Kluyveromyces lactis: one gene and its partners. The protein of the gene in region 6 purifies or fractionates together with the protein of the main gene of each other region. This does not show direct contact. Links are inferred from orthologs where the notes say so. Each region holds a gene or a part of one and is shown on either strand. Other genes may lie near its edges.

Evidence for each region.
Region 1: the proteins of RLP7 (region 6) and SDA1 purify together in Saccharomyces cerevisiae (affinity purification with mass spectrometry; 4 studies listed by BioGRID, with this or other methods). This does not show direct contact. The link is inferred for Kluyveromyces lactis from reciprocal best matches to the Saccharomyces cerevisiae genes RLP7 and SDA1.
Region 2: the proteins of RLP7 (region 6) and NSA1 purify together in Saccharomyces cerevisiae (affinity purification with mass spectrometry; 4 studies listed by BioGRID). This does not show direct contact. The link is inferred for Kluyveromyces lactis from reciprocal best matches to the Saccharomyces cerevisiae genes RLP7 and NSA1.
Region 3: the proteins of RLP7 (region 6) and NOP53 purify together in Saccharomyces cerevisiae (affinity purification with mass spectrometry; 3 studies listed by BioGRID). This does not show direct contact. The link is inferred for Kluyveromyces lactis from reciprocal best matches to the Saccharomyces cerevisiae genes RLP7 and NOP53.
Region 4: the proteins of RLP7 (region 6) and RPF1 purify together in Saccharomyces cerevisiae (affinity purification with mass spectrometry; 4 studies listed by BioGRID, with this or other methods). This does not show direct contact. The link is inferred for Kluyveromyces lactis from reciprocal best matches to the Saccharomyces cerevisiae genes RLP7 and RPF1.
Region 5: the proteins of RLP7 (region 6) and RSA4 purify together in Saccharomyces cerevisiae (affinity purification with mass spectrometry; 3 studies listed by BioGRID). This does not show direct contact. The link is inferred for Kluyveromyces lactis from reciprocal best matches to the Saccharomyces cerevisiae genes RLP7 and RSA4.
Region 7: the proteins of RLP7 (region 6) and RRP14 purify together in Saccharomyces cerevisiae (affinity purification with mass spectrometry; 3 studies listed by BioGRID). This does not show direct contact. The link is inferred for Kluyveromyces lactis from reciprocal best matches to the Saccharomyces cerevisiae genes RLP7 and RRP14.

Annotation. Positions count from the first base shown.
Region 1 is NC_006037.1:498,873-502,876, reverse strand, and holds SDA1 (Sda1p), read right to left. Parts: upstream 2,781-4,004; coding exon 501-2,780; downstream 1-500. Other genes in the region: transcription factor TFIIIB subunit BRF1, read right to left, coding at 3,333-4,004.
Region 2 is NC_006042.1:976,198-979,486, forward strand, and holds NSA1 (ribosome biosynthesis protein NSA1), read right to left. Parts: upstream 1,812-3,289; coding exon 501-1,811; downstream 1-500. Other genes in the region: CUE3 (Cue3p), read left to right, coding at 1-405; ARC40 (Arc40p), read left to right, coding at 2,295-3,289. UniProt on the Saccharomyces cerevisiae protein: Involved in the biogenesis of the 60S ribosomal subunit.
Region 3 is NC_006042.1:1,055,269-1,058,535, forward strand, and holds NOP53 (Nop53p), read right to left. Parts: upstream 1,836-3,267; coding exon 501-1,835; downstream 1-500. Other genes in the region: ATP-binding cassette long-chain fatty acid transporter PXA1, read left to right, coding at 1-260; HPR1 (Hpr1p), read right to left, coding at 2,259-3,267. UniProt on the Saccharomyces cerevisiae protein: Late-acting factor in the nuclear maturation of 60S ribosomal subunits, which is required for normal acquisition of export competence. Required for the export of the large subunit.
Region 4 is NC_006042.1:2,012,237-2,014,868, forward strand, and holds RPF1 (rRNA-binding ribosome biosynthesis protein RPF1), read right to left. Parts: upstream 1,380-2,632; coding exon 501-1,379; downstream 1-500. Other genes in the region: KLLA0_F21692g (pleiotropic drug resistance family ABC transporter), read right to left, coding at 1,916-2,632. UniProt on the Saccharomyces cerevisiae protein: Essential protein. Required for biogenesis of the 60S ribosomal subunit.
Region 5 is NC_006039.1:748,335-751,784, reverse strand, and holds RSA4 (Rsa4p), read right to left. Parts: upstream 2,049-3,450; coding exon 501-2,048; downstream 1-500. Other genes in the region: IMG2 (mitochondrial 54S ribosomal protein mL49), read right to left, coding at 1-214; mitogen-activated protein kinase kinase kinase SSK2, read right to left, coding at 2,576-3,450. UniProt on the Saccharomyces cerevisiae protein: Involved in ribosome biogenesis. Required for processing and efficient intra-nuclear transport of pre-60S ribosomal subunits.
Region 6 is NC_006040.1:418,204-420,891, reverse strand, and holds RLP7 (Rlp7p), read right to left. Parts: upstream 1,458-2,688; coding exon 501-1,457; downstream 1-500. UniProt on the Saccharomyces cerevisiae protein: Involved in the biogenesis of the 60S ribosomal subunit. May act as a specificity factor that binds precursor rRNAs and tethers the enzymes that carry out the early 5' to 3' exonucleolytic reactions that generate the mature rRNAs.
Region 7 is NC_006042.1:2,415,765-2,418,841, reverse strand, and holds RRP14 (ribosome biosynthesis protein RRP14), read left to right. Parts: upstream 1-1,233; coding exon 1,234-2,577; downstream 2,578-3,077. Other genes in the region: TEF4 (translation elongation factor EF1B gamma), read right to left, coding at 220-598; SOV1 (Sov1p), read left to right, coding at 2,967-3,077. UniProt on the Saccharomyces cerevisiae protein: Involved in ribosome biogenesis and cell polarity. Required for the synthesis of both 40S and 60S ribosomal subunits and may also play some direct role in correct positioning of the mitotic spindle during mitosis.

The DNA of each region.
Region 1 (4,004 bases), on a different chromosome or scaffold from region 6:
CTGAGACGAGCTAGTCTAGGCAGTAGTAAATCGTTCCCTCGAGAGTAACGCGTTGGAACATATGCCTTCCCGGCCCCATTTAGTGCGGGCCAGCATCACGGGCCACAGCCCGTGATGCGAAGAAGGCTTAATGCCGACGCATGAATATAGCTGATAGTGTCGAGATTTCCATTCAAGCTGAAGTTCCTCAAACATCCTGTAGTGGTCTCTTTTTCTTTTCGAGTTTTTTTTTTCCCTGTTAGATCATGTCCTTCTCGGTCCAAAACCGTTGGCACACCGTTAAGCCGTGTTAATAGTCCTTTTTGACCTGGGATATGAGCAGCAGACAAGTGGTCTCGGATGGTGATATCACATTGGCTGAAAGGACAACTTCAAAACTGGGCTAAATGGAGAAAATGAGTTGGTCACGTGACACTGACGTGTCTTTTTTTTCTATCTTTTATATGCTGTGTCTACAAGTGCCTATAATTAATATAACTACTTTTGCCATGCCATCTAGTTTAATTACCTTTCTTCTTTTGCTTCGTGATATGAGCACGCAAGACCTTTTGTTTGTCACGAAGCGACATTTTTTGCTTACCCTTCACAGATCTCTTATGGATCATCATCACAAAGTTCTTCTTTCTAGATTTCTCTTTATTTGTAGTTGATCTCATTGAACTGTCACGCTTACCACGCTTACTTCCGTATTTTTCACGGTCTTCACGACCTTCCATAATAGATGCCATTCTTTCCTCTTTGTTCTGTTTCTTGTGCTTGGCTGGACCCATAAGCTTGTAATGCTCAATAGTTTCTTCGTTGTTGATCCCCATAAGTTTAGTAACACCCTTTTCAGTACGTAGTTCTTGAAGTTTAGCGAAATCGGCTGGTGTTAAGATACGACTGGATGCTAATTCACGGAAAGCTTCTTCTGGGTCAGCGGATTCACTTTCTTCCTTCTGCTCTTCTCCCACCTTTGGTTCTTCTTCATCACCGGATAATTCTAAATCACTATCTTCACCAGCTTCCGGTTCGACTTCATCGTGGGAACGTTTCTTACCCTTATGACCTGTTTTGTTCTTGCTTTCCTCATCGTCAGAGTCCATGTCAACTTCGTACTCTTTATCGCTTTCTATCGTCACCCACTCACCTTCTACATCCGAAGCATCTGATAATTCATCCCGGTTGTTCAAATCCCATGCAGCCTCATCATCATCATCCTCCTCGTTTCCGTTCTCACGCTTCCACTTCGCTAGTAACTCAATACCATCTATACCTTGTACATTAGTAGTCTCGACACCAAACTTGACACGTTTGGATTCCCTGCCATTGCGTTTGTCGTCCTGTAGTCCCATAGAAGCGGTCTTACCACGATCTTTCTTCTTTAACATCTCCGGAGCAACTTCTCTGTATAATGCAATCAAACCCTTAGCAGCAATGGCGACACTCTTGGCCTTGGAGCCCTTATATTCGGTTAAATCTTGTAGTAAAGTCTCATCGATAGCTAATGGGGCACGAGTCAAGATTTCTCTGACTGTATTCAAACCCACAGTGGCAACCTCATTTGAAACACCGTCGCTAACAAACTCGTTGGCTATCTTCCTCACCATCACTTCAATGGTCTCTGGAGGAACAAGATCATGACAGGATTGGGCTGCAGCAGATAGAATCTTGGTAACGTCCCTTTGCTTTGGCGTCAGGTATTTTAAGAAGTATGAATATAGTCCAAGAACCATTAACTTGTGTGTACCTGTTAAACGGGATAATAATTGCATGATGGCAGTCTTTTGTTCGAAATCAAATTTGTTCGAATTCTTACCACTTAGATGTCTTTCAAACAATTTCTCGGCAAACCCTTGTGGATCACGTAATAGATGGATGGCACTGAAATTTAAGAAATTATTCTGTTGAACACCTTTAGCAGATTTCTTCTTTACGACCTTAAGTGCTTGCTCTAGCTTCTTACCTCTTTTACTAGATTTCTTGTTGATCTGGAGCTTGTGCTTCAAAGCGGTAGTATCGATTTCATCCTCATCGTCGTTTTCTTCAAACGCTTCTTCACGCTCTTTATCAGCATCCAAAAAGAACAAGACACCACTGTATGCAATTTTAACATCGTTATGTAGTGCAGCATGGGTCATAATTTCAACCGATCTTGAATCGTCCCAGATACCTCTTCTCCATAACTCTCTTGTCAATTTCGATGCCCATATACCTTGAGAATCTGGCTGTTCCAACAAATTGAAACACAACGCATGGGTAGATTTGTTTAATTTTTGGTTCTTACCACTGGTGTTACAAGATTTCATCAACTGTACTAGAGTGTTGTAGATTAAAGTTCTTAGCTCTTTGGCGTGAGAATTCTGGACCATCGAATTACTAGGGGAAGAGTATGCAATAAGCAATGGGAACATAGTTTGAATCAAAGTCTCAGGGCTGATAACGTTCTTATTTCTCAACATAGTTAGACTGGTGATAATCTTTTCTTTCACGTCAAACGGAAGCGATTTGTGGTGATCTAATACTAACTGTTTCAATTCGTTTGGGAAGTTTGCCGTTTCACGAGGATAACAGGAACAAACTTGAGATACAAATCCAATTGCTCCCATAAACTCAGCCATTGCACTTTCATCAGTGCTCTCGTTGTTGACCGAATTTAACATGAAAATGTCTCTTAATGATTGGTAGTGAGCATATTGCTGTAGAAACTCTTCACGATAGGATTCAGGATCACGCTTAACAAGGTTCTGCAAGAGAATAATGTTTGTCGGTAGAATAGCAGCACGAGATCTCCTAACCATATTTGTTTCTTATTTGATTATGTGATTCCTTTTCACTGTTCGGAAATACTTAGTTGATTTGCACAAGTTCGAATAGTGTTAGGCAACTTTAGTTGTCTCGGAGTGATATACTTTGTTCATACATAGGTTCTATCTCATCGCATCTCATCTCAAAATTTTCTTCCTTCTAAAAAATTTCTTTTCACTCACGGTACGGAAAGAAGAAACCAGAGGCAAAAAGTGGGTTTAAGGCTCTTTAATATCTGAATAGGCAAAATGGTATACTGATGGTAGCTTATTATTGTGTTCCATAAATGAATAATAGTCCACACCAAACGAATATTTGTTTGCAATGTTTATAAATTATGTACGCCGTTTAAATATAGTTCCAAAAATATAATCGAAATGAAATTGATACACCAATTTAGTGTAAAATATTAAAATAAAAAAGAGCAAAAACAGACATCTGTATCAAGTAACGATATGTAAATAGCAGTTGGTATTCATATAATTTTCTTGAGTTTGATCTGATGGATATCGTACAAGAGAAGAGAAACAGTGACGACGTAGAAACTATTTTTGTCCAAAGAGACCGTTAATAGCATCGTAATTGATCTTCTTTGAGAAAGTCGTCTTTTGTAATAGATTCTTGACACCTCCAGCTGCGACAACATCTACAGCATCAGCGTCATCCACGGAAACATCAAGCGGTAGTCCGTCGACTTGAACTTTGACGATGCTTGCACTGGATTGGTTTCTATTAGTACGTTTGCTGCGTTTTTTTCGTAGCGAAGTATTCCCACTGGCCAAATCTGCTTCCTGTTTGAGTCTTTTTGATTCTTGTTCAATCAAGTAATCACCGTTGATATCAATCCAAATACGTTCTTTCAATTTGGAAGCTTCTTCATCTAACAAGTGAGAATCCAATTCTGCATCATCAACATCATCCAAATTTTCAGGATGATCGCTGACTTTTGAAAGCAGAGAAGCTGTGGTGGGTAATAAATGTAAATTTCTTGGTCTATATGGATCCTTTTCAAGACTATATCCATCAATTTCATCCAGGGAACGTTTCTTGTCTTTCTCAGTTTTGTGTAAGTCTTCTCCATCGATTCCATGCGTAGCTTTTATACGACTGAATTCAGCTTTTCTGCGTTCAGAAAGCTTCTTCAAATAATAAAGGACTTCTTTAGACGATAGTTCCTGCGCTCCGAGCACTTGAGTCAAAATTGGATTTCTTGACAC
Region 2 (3,289 bases), on a different chromosome or scaffold from region 6:
CGGGGCTCGAAACAGCGGAAAGAAATGAAGAAAGAGACTAACTGGTCTGACGAACAAATTGAAGGTTGGTCAAGAATGATTGAGAAGAGTCCAAAGAGGGCACAACTGCTAGAAGAAAAGTATATTTTCAAAGGGAACGTTCGGCAAGGCAAGAAGACGTTTACAAAAGCACGAGAGGATAAAGAAGGTTTTGATCATCATGTAGTTGACAGCACCGTAAATTCACCTAACACTAACAGTAATAATGATTCTGGCAGAGAGAAAACACCTACTACCAAAGAACCTCTTACCAAAGAACAACAAAAGAGAAAAAATGCTCGTAACGAGAAACTAAAATCAAGTCGTGCTAATCATAATAGAAAAGCGGGACACGATAAAAAGTTAGCTAAAAGTGGTGTTTTATGATGAACATTAGACCAGTATAGATACATTTACGAAAATTGAAGTCGATTATCCTGTATCTTCCTATTTATCTGTAGATATTATGAAATGCATTTACTTTAAATATCATTCTTCGAAACTTTCCTTTTCTTGGATTCTAATTTATTCCAAAGATCCTCATTTTCAGCATCTTCATCAGCTTCGACGATGCTTCTTTTGGCTTCCTTCTTCTTCTTCATTTTCAATTGCTTTTCAGTTAAAGGTAATTCCAAGTCATTGTCTTCTAAGAGTATAATATCAGAAACCTTACCGCCTGTGAATATCTTTGCCAGGAGCTTATAATCGGCTAAATCAAAGATACGAACATACCTGTCCAAACCACCTTGAAGTAAGTATTTATCGGTAACAGCAATGCAAGATGCAAAACCAGTAATGTCGCCCTTGGCAATCTTTCTCAACAAGCGTCCCTTGCCGTTGAATTGGTACACATCTTTTCTGGAGTCTGCTGCTAAGAATTCAAGCTCGTCAAAGTTAGAACTTTGAAAGTTACCCAGTGGGGATGTGTCGCCTATAATTTTGCAAGAATTCAATTGCTCACCTTTGGGTAGAAGAGTAATAGATTTCACAGGTCTACAATCTTCAGCGTTGGTGGAATACTTTCTTAATTGAGCATATTTCGTAATTGTAATGAAATTATAAACCCCGTTCTTTTCTGATTCTAAGAATCTCAAAGCAACATCCCATGCAGGAACTCTTAACCCAATGTTGTCAAAGGGAACATTTTTAGCAGCCCATATATCAGAAATTTCTTTGAAATCGGATGATAACTCGATCAACCTAACTAGATTTTCCTCTCCACCGTATGCCATAACGAACTTATCAGATTTATCTAAATCATAAAGTGTAACAAACTCTACAGGCGCCTTTATTTTATGAGAAGCTATCTTGGAGATCTTAGTTGAATGCAAATCAACTTCGATGATGGTCACATTTCCAGATTTCGTTGCTGCCAAGAAGATGGGGTTTTTAGCCGATTTCTTAATCAAATATAGTTCCACAAATTGATCCTCGATCTTACTTTTCTTCTTTGATTTCGAACTAAGTGTATCCAACACTGACTGGTCAAAAAGTCCCGATATTAGATCTTGAAGTTCAAATTCTGTCACATCATATTTCGGCTCATTTGTTTCATCAACATCCTTAGAAACCCTCTTACTTGACACAAGTTCTAAACTACCACTATGTCTTGCTAAGAGTAACAGAGAATCAGAAACATGATATATCTTATCAATTCTGTTGGACAAACCTTGGTTTAAATGAATGTCAATATGGAAAGGCTGTAGTGCAGTCTTAATTGAGGTGTTTGTGCCTCTGTTGAAAATAATTTCTTTCAATGAGCCACTATCATCACTCGCCAATAAAACTCTCATTGTTAGTTCACGTCCTGGTATTTCTAGACGGAGTCTCAACGGCAAGTACTCTTATATATATCGTACCTCATCGCCAGTGTTCTTATGCCAATGATGCGATGAGCTCTAAAATTTTTCAAAAGAAACTATCCGGGAATACAAAATCACGTGACTGATATCAAAAGGTAAAGATGGCAGGATGACGGTTAAACCCATGACAACCTTTCGCTCTCAATGTGAACCAGGCTTATGGATTATTTTTAGGTACATCAGGATCGTGTAAATTCCAGCACTGGTCAATGATGAAAATATACACCGTTTGTTAAAGGTATTAGTCTGTATAGGGGCATTCGTGCAAGTGAAGAAATATTAAGAAGTTGAAAATCGTTCATTATTACTCAGATAATCTATATGTGCATCCCACTTTAATAAGGGTAAAATGATTGTGCATTCTTCTGAATCTACGTTAATTAATCGAACAGTTCATTAGTCGAGAGTCTCCTAATGTCTGATATCGCTGCTCAATTCAAATTGGTCAAAGGATCTATTTATTCTCACTGTTTCAATCAGGACAGAAGCCTTTTGGCAATCACCTATGATACTGATTGTTACGTTTACAAAGTCTCTGCTGCAAAGCAACCTCAATTGGTAGCAGTACTACCAGATCACGACAAGACTGTTACTGCTGTTGATATTTCTGTTCACGGTCGTATTGTAACTTGTTCACAAGATCGTAATGCCATTGTGTGGGAGCCCTTATCTAATGGTACTTATAAGCCAACTTTAGTCTTATTGAGAATTAACAGGGCCGCAACCTGTGTTTCATGGGCTTCATCCGGTTACAAGTTTGCAGTCGGTTCTAGTGCTAGAATCATTGCTGTGTGCTACTACGAGCAGGAGAATGATTGGTGGGTTTCCAAGCACATCAAAAAACCTATCAAGTCCACTATCAATGCCTTGTCATGGCACTCAAATTGTGTCCTTTTGGCATGTGGTGGTACTGATGGTTACGCTCGTGTGTTTTCCGGTTTCATTAAGGGATTGGATACCAAGGAACAAGTTGCTGGCTCTCCATGGGGTGAGAAATTCCCATTTGGTTCTTTGGTTAGAGAATGGTACCAGGGTGCCTGGATCCACGATATCAAATGGAGATCTTCCATCGATAAGGTCGCATTTGTCACCCACGATGGTTCCTTGAATATCACTGATTACACTGACGATATTAAGAGTGTAGACAACCCAGAAGGTCTTCCATTCATCACCTTATGTTGGATCAATGATCATGAAATTTTAGCAGCTGGTTTCTCAAATCATCCTGTTTTGTACAGCGAAGGTTCAAGGGGTTGGGAAGTGTCCAAGATTTTGGATAGCCCAGTTAAGAGTGCTGGCAAATTGGTAGCATCAACTGGGGATGATGAAGAAGAAGGTGCCTTCGGTATGTCCGCATTGAGAAAGTTCAAGGAATTGGATTTGAAGGGTAAAGTTAGCCAGCAAGAAGA
Region 3 (3,267 bases), on a different chromosome or scaffold from region 6:
TGGAAGATCATCTTTTTACCATGTTGAAGAGATACAGATTCAACTTCATATCCATCTCTCAACGCCCGTCTTTGATAAAATACCATGACTACCTATTGGAATTGACTAACGGAACTGATTGGAGCCTACAGGCATTAGGGTCAGACGAAGCTATTTTATCAATCGAAAATGAGATTGAAACCCTAAACCAAAAGCTAACAAAGGTAAAAGAATGGGAAAGGCAGAGAGATGAACTACAGGCAAAGTTGACATTGGTGTGAAAAATTGGTTTGAAAATTTAAATCTGCCAAGTCAAATGAACTATTCTTGGTGTGTAGTTCAATCAGTAGTAAAAGTGTCGGATATTGTATTCATTACTATTATATAATATAATCACAGAGTTAATGAATCTATTAATATTTTGCTCTATATAAATTATGCAAGAAAAGCACAGGTACGTCTGTGTATTTTATTGTACAAATGGTACGGAATGATGTATAGAAAGAAAAGAGCAAATTAATCTATTTGAAGTCCTTGTAAGTCCATTTCTCAGTGACTCTTGGTTTATATCTTCTACCTTTTCTAATAGGGATACGAGATTCTACCCTACCAGAACTTTGTAATGCTCTCACAGTGTCATATAGCAGATTACCTTCTGGTCTTAATTTTCTTAATGAATCTGATAGTTCATCTGAGAATTTCACCTCTAAATTGTCTTCCATGACGGAATGTTTAGTACCAAGCTTATGCTTCTTGTTCTTTTTAACTTTTCCGGCTGTAGAGACCGGATTTGGGACGGTGGATTCCACTTCCTGCTGAATTTCCTCTAATTTTTCAAGTTTGAGAACCTTTTCCTTCAATTTCTTTAATTCTTGCTGAAGTTTGACTTTTTCTTCGTGTCTTCTTTGTTTATTTCTCTGATATTTCGTTTTCTTTTTATTCTTAGTTGCTGGATTCAGAGACAACTTAGTCTCTTCTCCCTCTTCTGAAAGGTCTTTATCATCAAGTTCTGATTCATTTTCTTCTTCTGAATCGGAGTCCTCTTCCTCCTTATCTTCAATAGTATCCATCAAGTGTTGAATTCGTTGTTTATATTGTTCTAAAGCTATCCTGCGCTGTTCATTTATCAGCTCACCCTCATATTCAGTACTTATAAGAGCCTCCCATTCTTCTTTGCTTGGATTATATGACTTTCCTGCATGTGGAATGACATCTCTTTCTTTGACAATTTCTGGCACGCGAGCAATGGAATCCGGCTTAACAGTTGCGACGGACCAACTAGTTGTAGACTGTTTTAAGAATCCATTTGGAAGTTTCTCTACTTCTTCTGGTGCTATCTTAAGCTTCAGTCCAGATGGTACTTTAACCTCCTTACCAGCATCTTCGCCCCATAAATCAAGGGATCCTGACTTCACAAGACCTTCTTTTGCAACTCTTGCTTTCAACTTACTTTCACCAATTTTTTTACCAGCTAAAGCAAGTAATCTGTCCAGTTCTTTCTTTGATACCCCTTGGATCTTATCATGTTTCTTGTTAGCAGTCTTTGGGTTGGTTAGAGCAGGCACTTTGGATTTAGACTTGATAGACTCCAAAATCTCGGTTGACTTCAGAGTTTTCTTGATTGCTTTCCTCTTCACTAATTTCTGCTTTAAAACTTGGTCACCCTCAGTATCAACCGCAAAAAGCGCATCATCGCTAAGTTCTGTCAAATTCTGCTTACCATGAGTAGTCTCAAGGATCTGCTTCTCTTCGAGCTTGCGTTCCACATCGCTTATATCAATATTCTTTCTCCATGCCTTCTTACCTTTACGAGAAGATTGTTTGTACTGAGCTGGTCTGTCCTTAGATCCCGCCATAACTAACTATTTTGTCTGTTTGTTTGAGGTGGATTGTCCTGAATAGTATGGTAAGGATTAGTAAAACGATACGCCAGTCCCCGAGTATTAATTGTGTACTTGAATTCATCTCATCGCATCGCATCTCATCTCTTTTTTTTTTTTTCATCTTATTGGCATCGGATTGTCTAAATGAAAAATTGACATAAAAAAAAAGAAATATGATTATTCTCCGGGTAACATTCACTTTCGAAGCAAAGTAAAGGATATCGATTCATAATAGACAAGGAGATAGCTGTCGAATGTCAATTAGGAGAGGAATAGTCTAGAATCGTGTGATATTGATAAGTAACATCTGTAATTGATAAAATAAATGATTCTTCAATCGAATTATATGCTATATATTTGAACGGATGTCTGAAAAAATATTACTGTATTGTTAGCCTACTCCGTGTGGGAGCTTCCTTCATGTTCTTTCGGCACCTCTACTTCTGTTTCTGTACTTTCTATTGTTTTAAGCTCTGTTGGTTCAGATTCAAGCGCTTTTTCCTTTTGAGCCTCAGCGTCAGCATCTGGTTCTTCAACTTCTTCCTCAAGTTTTTGTTTCTTCGAAACAGCTTGTTCTTCTTCATTCCCGTCAGCCTCTGGACTATCGTGTCTTCTCTTTAGTGAATCATTATCTTGATCATCAGGCGAAGTTGTTTTATCATTTTTTCCATTTTCCAGAGTTTCTCTTTGACTTTTTATCTTCGCTTGAAGTAGATCTTTCCTTTCTTGTTCCTTGTCTTTGAAAAACTGTTCAGCCTCGGCGACTTGTTCGGAATGTTTCTTCTTTTTTGACTCTATTCTTTCGGCTAGCCGTCTTTTCTTAGATTCGATATCATTCCTAATGAGTTCTTCATTGGCGAACCCCGCCAGAGTAGTTTTTTCGCTGACCTTATTAAACTCAAACAAGTATTTCGGCCTCAAAGATCTTAGATTCTGCCATTGTTTTACTATGACATTATCAGTAGTGGTTTCATCACCATCAGTTTTTTCAGTTTTATCCTTGTATTCGGATATTATAGTGTCATATAGTTCTGAGGGATCTTGTCTATTGTTTTCTGAATACTTTCTCGCTAAATCTAAGCCTGATTGCACTTTCCATAGACCGTCTAATTTCTTATTGCCGAGTTTAATCCATCCGAATTTCTTGAATGCATTATTAGCTGTTGGTACGGTAATCAAATCAGAGGACCAATGAATGTCTTTCAAATTTGAGAAATCACCGACTTTTTGATTGAGTGCATCCAATTCATTCTGAGCTAGATGATTCAACAATTCATAAAATTGACGATCCCTAATTTCATAAAATGAAGAAATTCTGTTTAACTTCTTCGTTAAGAAATTGATAGCAGAATCGTTTTTATTTAGCACGTTGTCTCCATATTCAACACGCCATTTCGATGAATGG
Region 4 (2,632 bases), on a different chromosome or scaffold from region 6:
GTTAAGATGCTGAAAACAAAAGAGAGGTAATAGCAACAGTGTACAAAAAAAAGAGTAAAGTGGCTTAGTGTTTTTACTGTCAGTGTTTACTTTCCCAGTGATCGATCGTGTTAATAATTCCTTTCCAATAAAACAACAATAACAAACAGCCTGAAAAAATACTTTTTCTTAGATTGCAATCGATCAAATATAATGACCAAGAATATGACAATCCTAAAGAGCAATTAGTGTACCACCTCTTCAGATCAACAGAGTAACCGTTTGTTTCAATTAATCTTTTCAACAGTGGGCTTGTACTCATTTAAGCCCAAAACATTCCAAATCCTTTAAAGGTTTCAATGCCCTGTTTTCTTTAAAGCCAAGGAATTTCTCATTTTGCCACCACTTTTCGTCAGCCTCGTGAGTAGTGATGATAATACCGTCAAATCTTTGATAAATCTCCAAGTGCAGGACTAGTACACAGGTGGCTTTGAATTTGTATATAAATATATGCAAATATATCATAGATTGAACTTCTTCTTTTCTTTGTCCATTGAAGGTTTGTGTTCCCATTCTGTTTCCTCTTTGATACCTCTTTGTAGTCTTTTGAGTTTCATAGTAAATTGGGGCCCAAGTTCTTGAAGACCTACTTTCTCTTCGTTCCTGAAAACGTAACGGTGTCTGCGGAAGAAGATGTAATCTCTTTGATTATGCAGCGTTATCACTTGTCTACCTTCGAAATCAGGGTTCTTAGGGAAAATAGATTGGAATAGTTTACCCACAGTTTTACCAAGTCTGGTGTTGAAATTGTTCAAGATTAACTCTGGAATATGGCTAGTTGGTCTACCATGGCCCACGATCTTTTCGACTTCGACGAAAGAACTTATTTTGAAATAAAAGGTTGGCCCCTCTGGAAGATGAATAAATGTAAGCCCCGTTACTTTCTTCTTATCTTCATTTATTATCACGATATCTGTATAGTTCCTGTTATTACAGAATTCAGAGATTTCCTTCAGCTTGTATCCAAATTTCCTCTTCACGAAAGTCACATTAGGGAAAACTTCGATCAGGATATTAGCGAACTCATATGCCTTCTTTTTGGCGTTTACATTAGTTGTTAATAGAATCTTTGGTGGTTCGGTACCGTTGAAAAATTTCATAAAATCATCCATTTCACCTTCGACTTCTTGACCCATCGTTTCATCGTAAACTCTGAGGTTATCAATTGTGTCAGGAACATTTTCAGCAAGTCTTTTTTCCTTCAATTCCGGATTCTCACGTTCTTCCTTGGCTCTGGTCCTCCTCATAGAATGACGCTCCTTATTGTGCTGATCCTTCAACTCAGCAAAGAGTTTTTGCCTCTTCTGCTTGTTTTTTATTCTGAGTTCATCCACTGCCATTTTGAAATTATAGTATCGTCCGATTTGCTGTTATGCACCCTCGCTATTTGACCTAGAATAAGCTACATAACTAGCTATGTTCCACTATATTCAACTTCTATCTTGTTAGCCTCATCTCATCTCATCTCATCTCATCTGATCAATACAAAAACTTTCAAAATTTTGGAAAGCTAATTTTCGATAAAAAGAAAAGAGTTCACATTCGTCGCTGCAATCATTGTAGGAAGGGTGAGCTGACGAATATCCCATCAAAGGATCTTGATTACCTCAACGACCATCCACAACAGAGATCCATGCTAAAATTGAATAATTTTCGTACTTGCAATCGAGTTATATTGGGACTTTATATGCAATCGAAGTTTCTTTTTTTGGTTTCCATAGTAATATATGGGGAAACCAGATATCAATTCAGGTCTATATATACAGAATAAACAAAATATTAAAGCAGAACGCAAGCCCACGATAAGAAATGAAGTTTAATAGTTAAAAAAAAACAGAAGTAAACGACGTAAAAATTGGCCAAAAAGCAAAAATCCTTAAACTTGTTCATTGGATTGAGGTTCAACCTTTTCCTTTTGAACATTTTCAATTTTCTTGCCATGATCTGGGTCTCTCTCATCAGCCACTCTGTTCTTCTTCTTTGGAACTCTAGCCAACCAGTATAGGAAAACACAACCGCACCAGTTGAACACAATGAAGACTATGAAAATACCGAAATTTCTCCATCTTCTATGGTACGAAGATTGGAAACTTGTCAAAAATGCGTTTGTTTCAGAAATCTTACAGAAATTACAATCTTCCGTAGCATTTGAATCTAGTAGATAACCACCATTCTTGTCAATATAGTCCGCCATGTACTCACCACAGGTTTCTCCACTCCTTGGATTAAAGCTGACGTATTCATAGTTTGCGCATGTTACAGGGTTGTTTGCAAGACCAGTTGAGAGTACACCATCAATAAAGTAAGTTAGCGGTGAAATACGGTACATGAAAATCCAGAACCCTGGCAAAACACCAGAACCACCAAACACACCACAGAAATTCAAGGACATAGTGAACATTAATGATGCCATATTACCTGCAGCCTCAGCATACTGAAGACCTGCAATACACAATTGACCCATTGAACTGATAAATACGTAGAAGGAAACAGAGAATAACCAGAATAACACACCTCTTTCGTTTAATTGACCGGCATATGACGCATTGTTGTAGAAACCAATAGGATAGTAGAAAACGAAGAAGGCAATGGT
Region 5 (3,450 bases), on a different chromosome or scaffold from region 6:
GACTTTGACTGTCAAATAAAGCACTGAGTTCGGCACTTTCGGCATCAGATAATGGTCCCAATTTGTCCATTTCTGATTTAAGTTCATTTAAAAGCTCAATTTCTGAGTTTTCCTGTTGTTGTGGTTGCTGTGCTTGGGTTGATTGTAGTCTAGTACAAATCCGAAATGATCTTGGGCTCATAGCCGCAAAACTTCTTGTAACTCTTGTAAGCATTATTAACTAGCCGTTGTATTATTAGTAGGCTGTTGTGTGGTTATGCAGGTTTTCCCGGTGTACACCTTTCTTACTATATAGATAACTTATCGATTTCCTATGGTAAATGCCGGCTGAATCGTTCTTCATCTTTTCAACTATGCTTGAAGCTTTAATTTTTCAAAATTTTCAGCTTGTAAGAAGAAGGGACACCTGTGCACCTCATAATAAATGTAAAAGAAGCTATAACATACATAAGGCAGTCTATAATTTAATCATGCTAATTATTCAGATGCAGTGGATCCACTCAATGAGTCCATATCCTGACCATTTTATCTTTCCCACCGCTACATACACGTTTACCGTCTACAGACCAATCTACAGTGTAGACTTCATCTTGATGACCGGGTAGATCGACGGACAGTTTTCTAGTTTTGACATCCCAGACTTTTAAAGTGGTATCTTTGGAACAAGAAACGAGTAGTCTACAGTCGCTTGACCAAGCTACTTGGTAGACACTCGCTACATGTCCTCTAAAGGTGGATAGGAATTTACCATCCCTTCCATCCCATAATTTAATGGAGTTGTCAAAGGATGCAGAAACAATGTAACGGCCATCTGGCGAAAATGCAACGTGGTTGACGAGCTTTTGGTGGCCGGTCATTCTGGTAATAGGTTTAGTAGACTTCAAGGGGTTCCACAGATACATAGTAAAATCGTCACTGGCAGTTACCATCAGTTCTTCGAAGTCACCTTTTCTTTTAGCAACTTTTTCGTAATTTTTCAGAGCCTTCTGTTGGGCTTCTTCAGGTGAAGCAGGAGTTTCGCCCTTGTGATCGAACGCACCGAGTCTTAATGCATAATCTGTTGAAAGTGAAAGATGATTAACCCAATGGGCGTGTGATTTTAGGATATTGATACATTTACCGTTCAAATTCATGTCCCAGCATCTGATTGTTTTATCGTGAGAACCACTGTATAGAACATTTTTTCCACCCCACTTGACACAGGAAACAGAAGACGTATGGCCACATAAGGTTAAAAGGCAAACTCTTCTTGTTGTATCCCAGATTTTGATAGTTCCATCCTTGGATGCAGTTGCTAATCTCGGTTTGTCACCAGGTTTGACAAGATGGATTGGTTCCCAAGATAAGGAGGTAATCCATTTCGAGTGACCTCTTAAAGCATCACCATAAGGCTTACCTTTGCTTGATTCCCATAATCTAATTGTGTTGTCCATAGAACCTGTGGCGATTAATTCACCATCTGGAGACCAGGAACAACATAGGACCCAGTTGTGATGGCCTTGTAACGTGCACATACGCGTTTGAGTGTCACAATCCCAGATACATGCAGTATTGTCACCAGCACCGGTAACCATCCTGGAGCTTGTATTTGGAGCAAATGCAGAACACAAAATTGTCGAGCCATGACCAGCAATTGCAGAAGACGACCGAGTTACTGGTTTTACTTTGAAGATAGCTCTTGGGGTATACACTAGAGTCAAAAAATCTTCGGTAGTTTTCAAACCTGGTTTTAAAATGGATTGATATAGATTATCTCTAATATCTACCATTTCCTCATCTGCATCCTTCTTTTTGTTGCTAACTAAACAGCTAAACGTGTATGGAACAGGATCTGCCGAGTCTCCATTTAACTGATTCAACAATTCCTCCAGTTGCTGCTCCGAAATACCACCTGGAACCCTTAGAGAACCTCCAACAGTTTCACCACTGTCAAAAGCTTGGAATTTAATGAGAACATTTGGAAGGTCTTTGGGAATAAGGTCAACTCCACGTTCAGCTTGAGCTTCTCTTCTTTGCTTCTTTGAAGGCGGTGGGAGTAAGGTTGCCATGTTTCGTTTGGATTGCTTGGCCTAACAAATTCAGAGAATTATTTTGGGCTCGTTTAATTACCTAAAAACTTCTTTCGAGAAAAGACCTGTGATTATTGCTGGAATACTAATATCGTTCACCAGAACCTTCTCCTTTTTAGGGAAGTCGACTTGGTAGTTGAAGCTCATCTCATCTCATCTCATCGGCATCTCAAAAGATTTTCTTGAACTTAAGAATTTCTTTTAGTTCACCACTTCCGGGTAATATAAATCTTTATTATGTTGAAACTATGCTCTGAATACCTTATGGGGAGCATCAGGCACAAAAAATTCCTAGACTGCAATTTACTTACTGGCAAGCAACTCACAGATAACGGAAAGTGCATGTTACATTGATACTATACGGATCCGGCATTGTTTAAAAAAAAGTCAAACAAAAGTTCCTATTATTATTATATATACATACAATACTTATACAAAAAAAAAATCTATGGTTACAATTGTTACATATGATCGTCATGGGGAGGAAACTTTTATGTCTATCAGAACTAGTTATGAGTTTCATTATTAAAAGATTCTGCATTGCCACCAAATGCAATGTTACGTATTTGAGAAATCCAGGGATCAAGTAACAATTCCATTGCAGTTGCTCTTTTATTGGCATCTTGTATTAAGCATCTGCTTATGAACTTTCTACCCGCAGATGAAATTTCAGACTTGGTTGGGAATTGCGGAAGGTGACCAGCTGCAACATGATACATGATAGCCCATTCATTGTCTAAGTTAGCCCATGGACGTCTACCGGTCACCATTTCCAGTACAACACAACCTAAAGACCATATATCATCGGATCCGAATTTTCCGTGTCCTTGACCAGTCACCGTTTCTGGTGCCATATACATCGGTGTTCCGATCATATCTTTCCCGCCTGTAGATTTGTTATTGGCATCCAGTGATATCCTCTTTGATCCGTTCTTTGCAATGAGTTTTGCGGCACCAAAATCTACATATTTGATAACGCCATTACGATCCAATAAGATATTCTCCGGTTTGATATCTCTGTGCACAACTCCAGATTGGTGCAAACATGCCAATCCCTCAAGTAATTGTAGTGTGTAAACTTGAGTTACCATTTCATCTTCAATCCGGCCATGTTCGAGTAAACTGGCTAAGGAGGAACCCTCGCAGAATTCCATAAAGATATTAACCTTGTCTCTGTGAACTTCCACACCATAGTACTGAACAATATTCGGGTGATTTAAGATCTCCATGACGCGCATTTCTTCTTTGAGAGATGGGAAAATTTGCTTCATGGATTTAGCATCTTGGATTTTGATCTCTTTTACCGCTAAAATATCACCAGTATCTAGGTTAACAGCGGAATATACAGTACCAAAGCTACCACTTCCGATAAAGCTACGCT
Region 6 (2,688 bases):
TGTAGTGTGGGATACTTTTTACTTCTTCAAATAGGTATCAACAATAAAAATAAATCGAAGCAAATGTAGGAATGCGTTAAAGCAGATGTACTTACTTAGAGTACATAGATATATTTATATAATTCAATATATAAAAGTATATGAAGCATCTGATGTTGAACCTGTCATGACTCTAAACTGGAATGGGTAGTTATGCTTCTGAAGGTTTTCCGTTAGAAAATGAGTGCAGGGATCAGGCCCGGAACCGGTTTTAGCCTGAAAGGAAAAGAAAAAAATGCGGTGATTACTAGCACGTGACTGCGCTGAATTGGAATCCACCACAAGTACAGCGAATGGCAAGAGGGAAGGGGAATATATTGTGCCTGGCGGTAGCGTCTGCTATATCAAATGTTAAACATAACTAAATGCAGTAGTGAATAGAGTAATGTATTTCTACATATGTGGGTAGGGCCAATGGGAGCCCGATGTCTATTGTACAGATATTTTCCTTTTATAGTTAATCAATTCAACTTGGAAATCATTGAGTCGATATCTACTTGGATAACTGGAGCCGTGGCAGCGTTTGAAATTTGACGAGTCTTCTTGTTTTGTTCGCGCATTTTCAGTTTATTCAAACGGGAGATGGCACCGAATCCACTGACTTCTCTGTTCAATTTGAATGGTAATAGGAAGAAAGTACATTTCGAGAAATTTTCGCCCAACGTCGAAATCTCATGGATGATATCCTCGATACAAATGACACCTTCATCACCTAATTTCTCTTCAACGATATTGTTGTCATTCAAGATTATCTCTTTTGGTTCTTTATCTTCTGGCCTTTGCCACATTATTCTAGATCTCTTTTGGATTAAAGAACGGATAGATGCAAGTGAAGGTTGTCCGATAACAATATATGGTGATACAAGTTTCAACAATGGGTACACGTCCTTGGTAAGTTTGATGAAAACACCAGTGTTCAACTCAACAAGTCTCAAAAGAGATAACACTTTGTAAGCCTTTGCTGGGATCTTCACAGCTGTGGGTCCTTTCACTCTTATAACAAATAATAAGCTTGGCTCACCATCGTATACGATTTTTTCCCTGATTAACCCATCGTCCTCTTCATCTTCCTCATCAACATCTTGAAGCTCAGATTCGGATGTAGCCTTACTACCGGCTTCTCTTTCAGAGATACGCAAGATAAAATCCCTATCGGATGGGATATGTGACAAATCGTTCTTGACCTTTTGGTTTTCTAAGTCTCTGACTCTTCTGATTCTGGTCTTTTCTCTCTCAGTAGCCAAAGTTGTGGCGACTATCGTCTCAGCTCTAACAAATCTGTTCTTCTTACTACGTTTCTGTTTCTCTTCTTGCTCCTTTCTCTTCTTGGCAAGCTCCTGCTTCTCCAACCTAGTACGATCAGCATTTCTTCTCTTTCTTAAAAGAACCTCTGGGTTCGAGTTCAATGGTTGTGACATTTGTTGCTTCTATATTACTGCCCTGTTTATTAATCTCAGCACAAACCAGCTCTATATAATACAACTTATATGCTCCTAATACTTCAGATTAGCCAAGGTCATCTCTCATTGAAAGCTTTATTCATAATCTTTAATTTCATCTCATCGCATCTCATCGCACTGAACTTTTTTTTCCTCGCCAAAAAAATTTTCTGTAACGAAAAGAAACACTTCCAGTCACGTGAACTGTGAAACCAAGATCTTCTGTTTGACACTCAGACAAGTAGATGATCAATTACAATTACAATTACAAGCTGACCTCGAATAGGGTACTGGCAAGTTGGCGTTTACCTGGGATGATCTGTTGCTGCAGCATGGTGTACCCCAGCAAGATTCTTCAGAATTAAATGGGAACATTTCGGAAAGTTACCCAAAGAATGGGAAGCAAGTTAAATAGTCAAATAGTCAAATTGTGACTGTCTATATGTGAATCGTATATACAGAGACGAATTTTCAAGCAGTTTCCCCTATCTACCTGCTGCAGGAACTAGCACTTCTAACCGGCAGTAAAGTTTTCCGTATCAGCTCATGAAATCGTTATATCTTGGCTTTTGACACTGGCTTTCGAGGTGGCTTTAGGAGTCTCGAAATGTGTGCCCACAGCAGTGTTTCCTTCGAAACCAGCCGTGGCTCCATTCTTTGTACCATCTATGCCGCTCTCTGTTTCGAAACAACCGTGAGATCAACTGTGGTTCAAGTTCTCAACACAGAACAAGTAAGAAAAAAAAGAAATGGGAAAAGGTCCCTCGAGAGGAAGAATGCTGAAAAGGCAGAGAAGGAACCTCAGAGCAAAGTCCGCCCTTTATCATAAATCGGCGGTCTTTTCTTACAACAGAGATCCCAGTGGGGCGGCTCGAACGACGGAAAAAATTTCGAACGATTTAACCGTGAACGCATGCCTGTCCCTAAATTGTAGGACGTTTTCCTCGATTTAAATTCCAAATCACTGAGCGATACCGCTGACAGCACTGGAATTATGCTACTCTTAAGTTATATTTTTCCCTTCGCTCACGTGATTCTAGGAAGATAGTAAATACACTGTGCCGTTTGTTGAGCTACAGCGTGAACAGTAGGAAATGTACTTCCACTACGGGCTGACTAAGTCCACGCTCGAAGGAATAAAAATCACTTCGAGTGTCTTATGTTTTTCTTTTCTATCAAAACGACAAGTACGATAAAAAAACCGGCATGA
Region 7 (3,077 bases), on a different chromosome or scaffold from region 6:
TGATGTCAGAGTATACATTTTCGACACGTGAGTGTTACCATGTTTTATTAAACTTTTTACCCATTCAGACAGGGATAACTGTATAATTGAAAGGTTCTCATCATTATCAGAAGATAAAAAATTAAATTCATCCAAGGCTTCAATTGAGTAGAACAGAAGGGACGGGGAAAACCTCAATATATTCAATTGAAATAAAATGTGAAAAAATCTCACACATACTGTAATAAGCAATAGCAATTAATTCGTGCAACTTGAAACCGTCTTCGCCAATGAAAGCTGGTGTCTTATGCAATGGGAAGTTGCTGGTGAATTCCTTATTTTCAGCAGCAGTAACATCAACAACGTTGACGTCTACCTTGAAGTACTTAGCCAAAGCTTTAGCCAAGATACTTCTTGGGGAAGGAGGCAGAACAAATAAAGTGCTTTGAGCCATTATGAAATGATATCCAACAAAAAGATGCTTCTGTATGGACGTCCTTATGACCTGAACTGAATATTGAAAATCAAACTTGAACACACACTGCACAAACAAATAATTGTGTTCTGAATCGAAGTAACAAGAATGGAAAAAATTTACTATTAATCGTACCCATAACATATTTATACAAAGTAAATGTGAGAAGTTTTGAAAAAAAAAACTGAAGAAAAAAAAAAACTTGGAAAAACATAAAAATTTTGAATAGTCATTTTTCCTTATACGGGCTATTTTAACTGTAGTGATCAAGTAAGTAATTGAAAGGCCTTTAGAGCTTCTTCTTTTCACGTAGCGGCTGGAACAAAAAGAAATTTGTTTTGGATTTTCAATTTTTGGCTTCGAGAGATGAGCCGTGGGTAATGATTGGGGGCAAGTATCATTGGCTATGAGGGCATTGTCAAATGGCTAGAAGAATGATGGTGTACATGTGGCAACAATAAAATGGTTGAAGTCTGTTACTGTACAGTACTTCTGTACATTGTATATACAGAAGTCATCTTCCGCTCGTTTTGACTAAGGTCACGTGACTTATTTAAAGTGTATTCTTTTTTTTTTGTAATTTTCCCTGTAGAAAAGAAACCTCAAAGATTCACCATACGTGATATTCTCAAAACCGTATATAGAAAATTTTCAGCTCATCGCACCGGACAGGTACAGAGACTTAACTTGTTCTTACAGCAATGTACTTATCAGTACTAAGATTCGTTTAGTAAGAAGGATATTATTTACACAGCTCAGTTGTACCAATCCACCCTGACATGAGCAATTCTCTTGAAGAACGGTTGAAATCGAATTCTAGCGCCTTTGAAGGGCTACTTTCGTTGATACCTGCGAAATATTACTACGATGACAAGACACAGGAACAATGGAATGCCAAGAAGAAGAGCAAAGGGCAATTGAAGGAGGATAAGAAATCGAAATTGGATCCTGAGCAGCAGGACGATGAATCCAGCTCTGCCCTCGAAGTTATGAAGAAGAAACAAGCTCAGGCGAAAGCTGTGGTTTTACCAGGCCAAAAGAAGATCCAACGTGAACTACTAGACGCAGAGTCTGAAACATCGTCCGAAGATGATGAAGACGAAGAGGACGAAGAAGAGGACGAGGAGGAGCAAACCGAGGAACAAGAATCTGACGAAGTACCGGAAATAAACATTTCTCAAACTTTGGGCGAATCTGAGAGTATAGCGGTGATCTTTGATGATGATGGAAACCCAGTAGATCAGAACAAACAGAAGCAAGAGAAAGAGCGTATACAGAAAAAACAGGAGGCCATCGAACGTACCAAAGATGACTCTTCTCAGAAGAAGAAGAAGATGGAAGAATTACGCTGTAAACTACAGGAGAAAATCAAAGCTTTAAAGGAGAAAAGAAAAGCCCCAGGAACCAAGGTGGAAGGTGCGCCAAGTTCAAGAGAAGCTATTCTTGCTCAAAGAAAACGTAGACAAGAGGCAAGGGCCACCAAGTTAGATTCTGAAAAAGCTGGTGATGTGTCTTCTGATGATAGCGCAGATTCTGATTCGGACTCGGATGCAGAAGATGCTCACGTTTCCAAGAAACATCGTCGCAATGGTGATGAAGAGATTTCAGCCAAAGATGTTATGTTCCAAAGTATTCAATTCAATGACGGTACAAAGGCTACATCTGATTTATCGCATGTAAGAAAGGGTGAAAGAAAAAAGGGACCTGCCAAAAAGGACGTTAAAGCTCATTTAAGACTGCTAGAGACAAAGAAACAATCATTAGAATCAAGAGATGAATTGGATCAAATTAAACTGAAAGAGAAGGAAAAATGGCAAAAAGCCATGTTGCAAGCAGAAGGTATCAGGCTTAAAGATGATGAGAAACTACTTCGCAAAGCTTTGAAGCGTAAAGAGGCTAAGAAGCGTAAGTCGACCGTCGAATGGCGTGAACGTAAACAAGTGGTAGAAAACACTGTTGCCGAAAGACAGAAGAGAAGAGAGGAAAATCTACAGATTAGAAAGGACAATAAAGGTAAGAAGAAGAGCAAACAACAGAAGATGAAGAGAAAATTCAAGGGAACTGCCCATTTGAAGAAAAGAGCAGGATTTGAAGGACGTATGAAAAGTGTCAAGAAGAAATGAGCCTTAATCAACTAATATTCTCCATCCAACAAATAAAAGCATAATATCATATTTCATCCTTTCAAGTTATAGATTAACCTTTTACTTTTACTTTTGCATCTCTATTTTTATATACTGACACCCAATGATATATAAAAATAAATATAATCAAACCCAGAATGTAATAATGCATAAAATCTCTATTACCATGTAGTCTTTAATAATGGATTTCAGAAGCCAATGTGCGGTTATTTCTTTTCATTCATTTTAAACTGCGTTCGAAAAATCATGAAAATGGTTCAGACGCAATAGTATAGATGAAATAAGGTATCTCGATGAGATGAGGTTGAAGAGGTTCACTCCAGCGAAACAAGGCAACGTTGCAGAAGAGAAAGATTCTATATTGCATAATGCTGAATGTGATAACCTGTCGAAGTCGATTAAGTTTACTCGTTACACCAAGACAACTTCGATATATACGAACCAAAAGTTTATCAAATACTATCTCCACTATAAAGAAA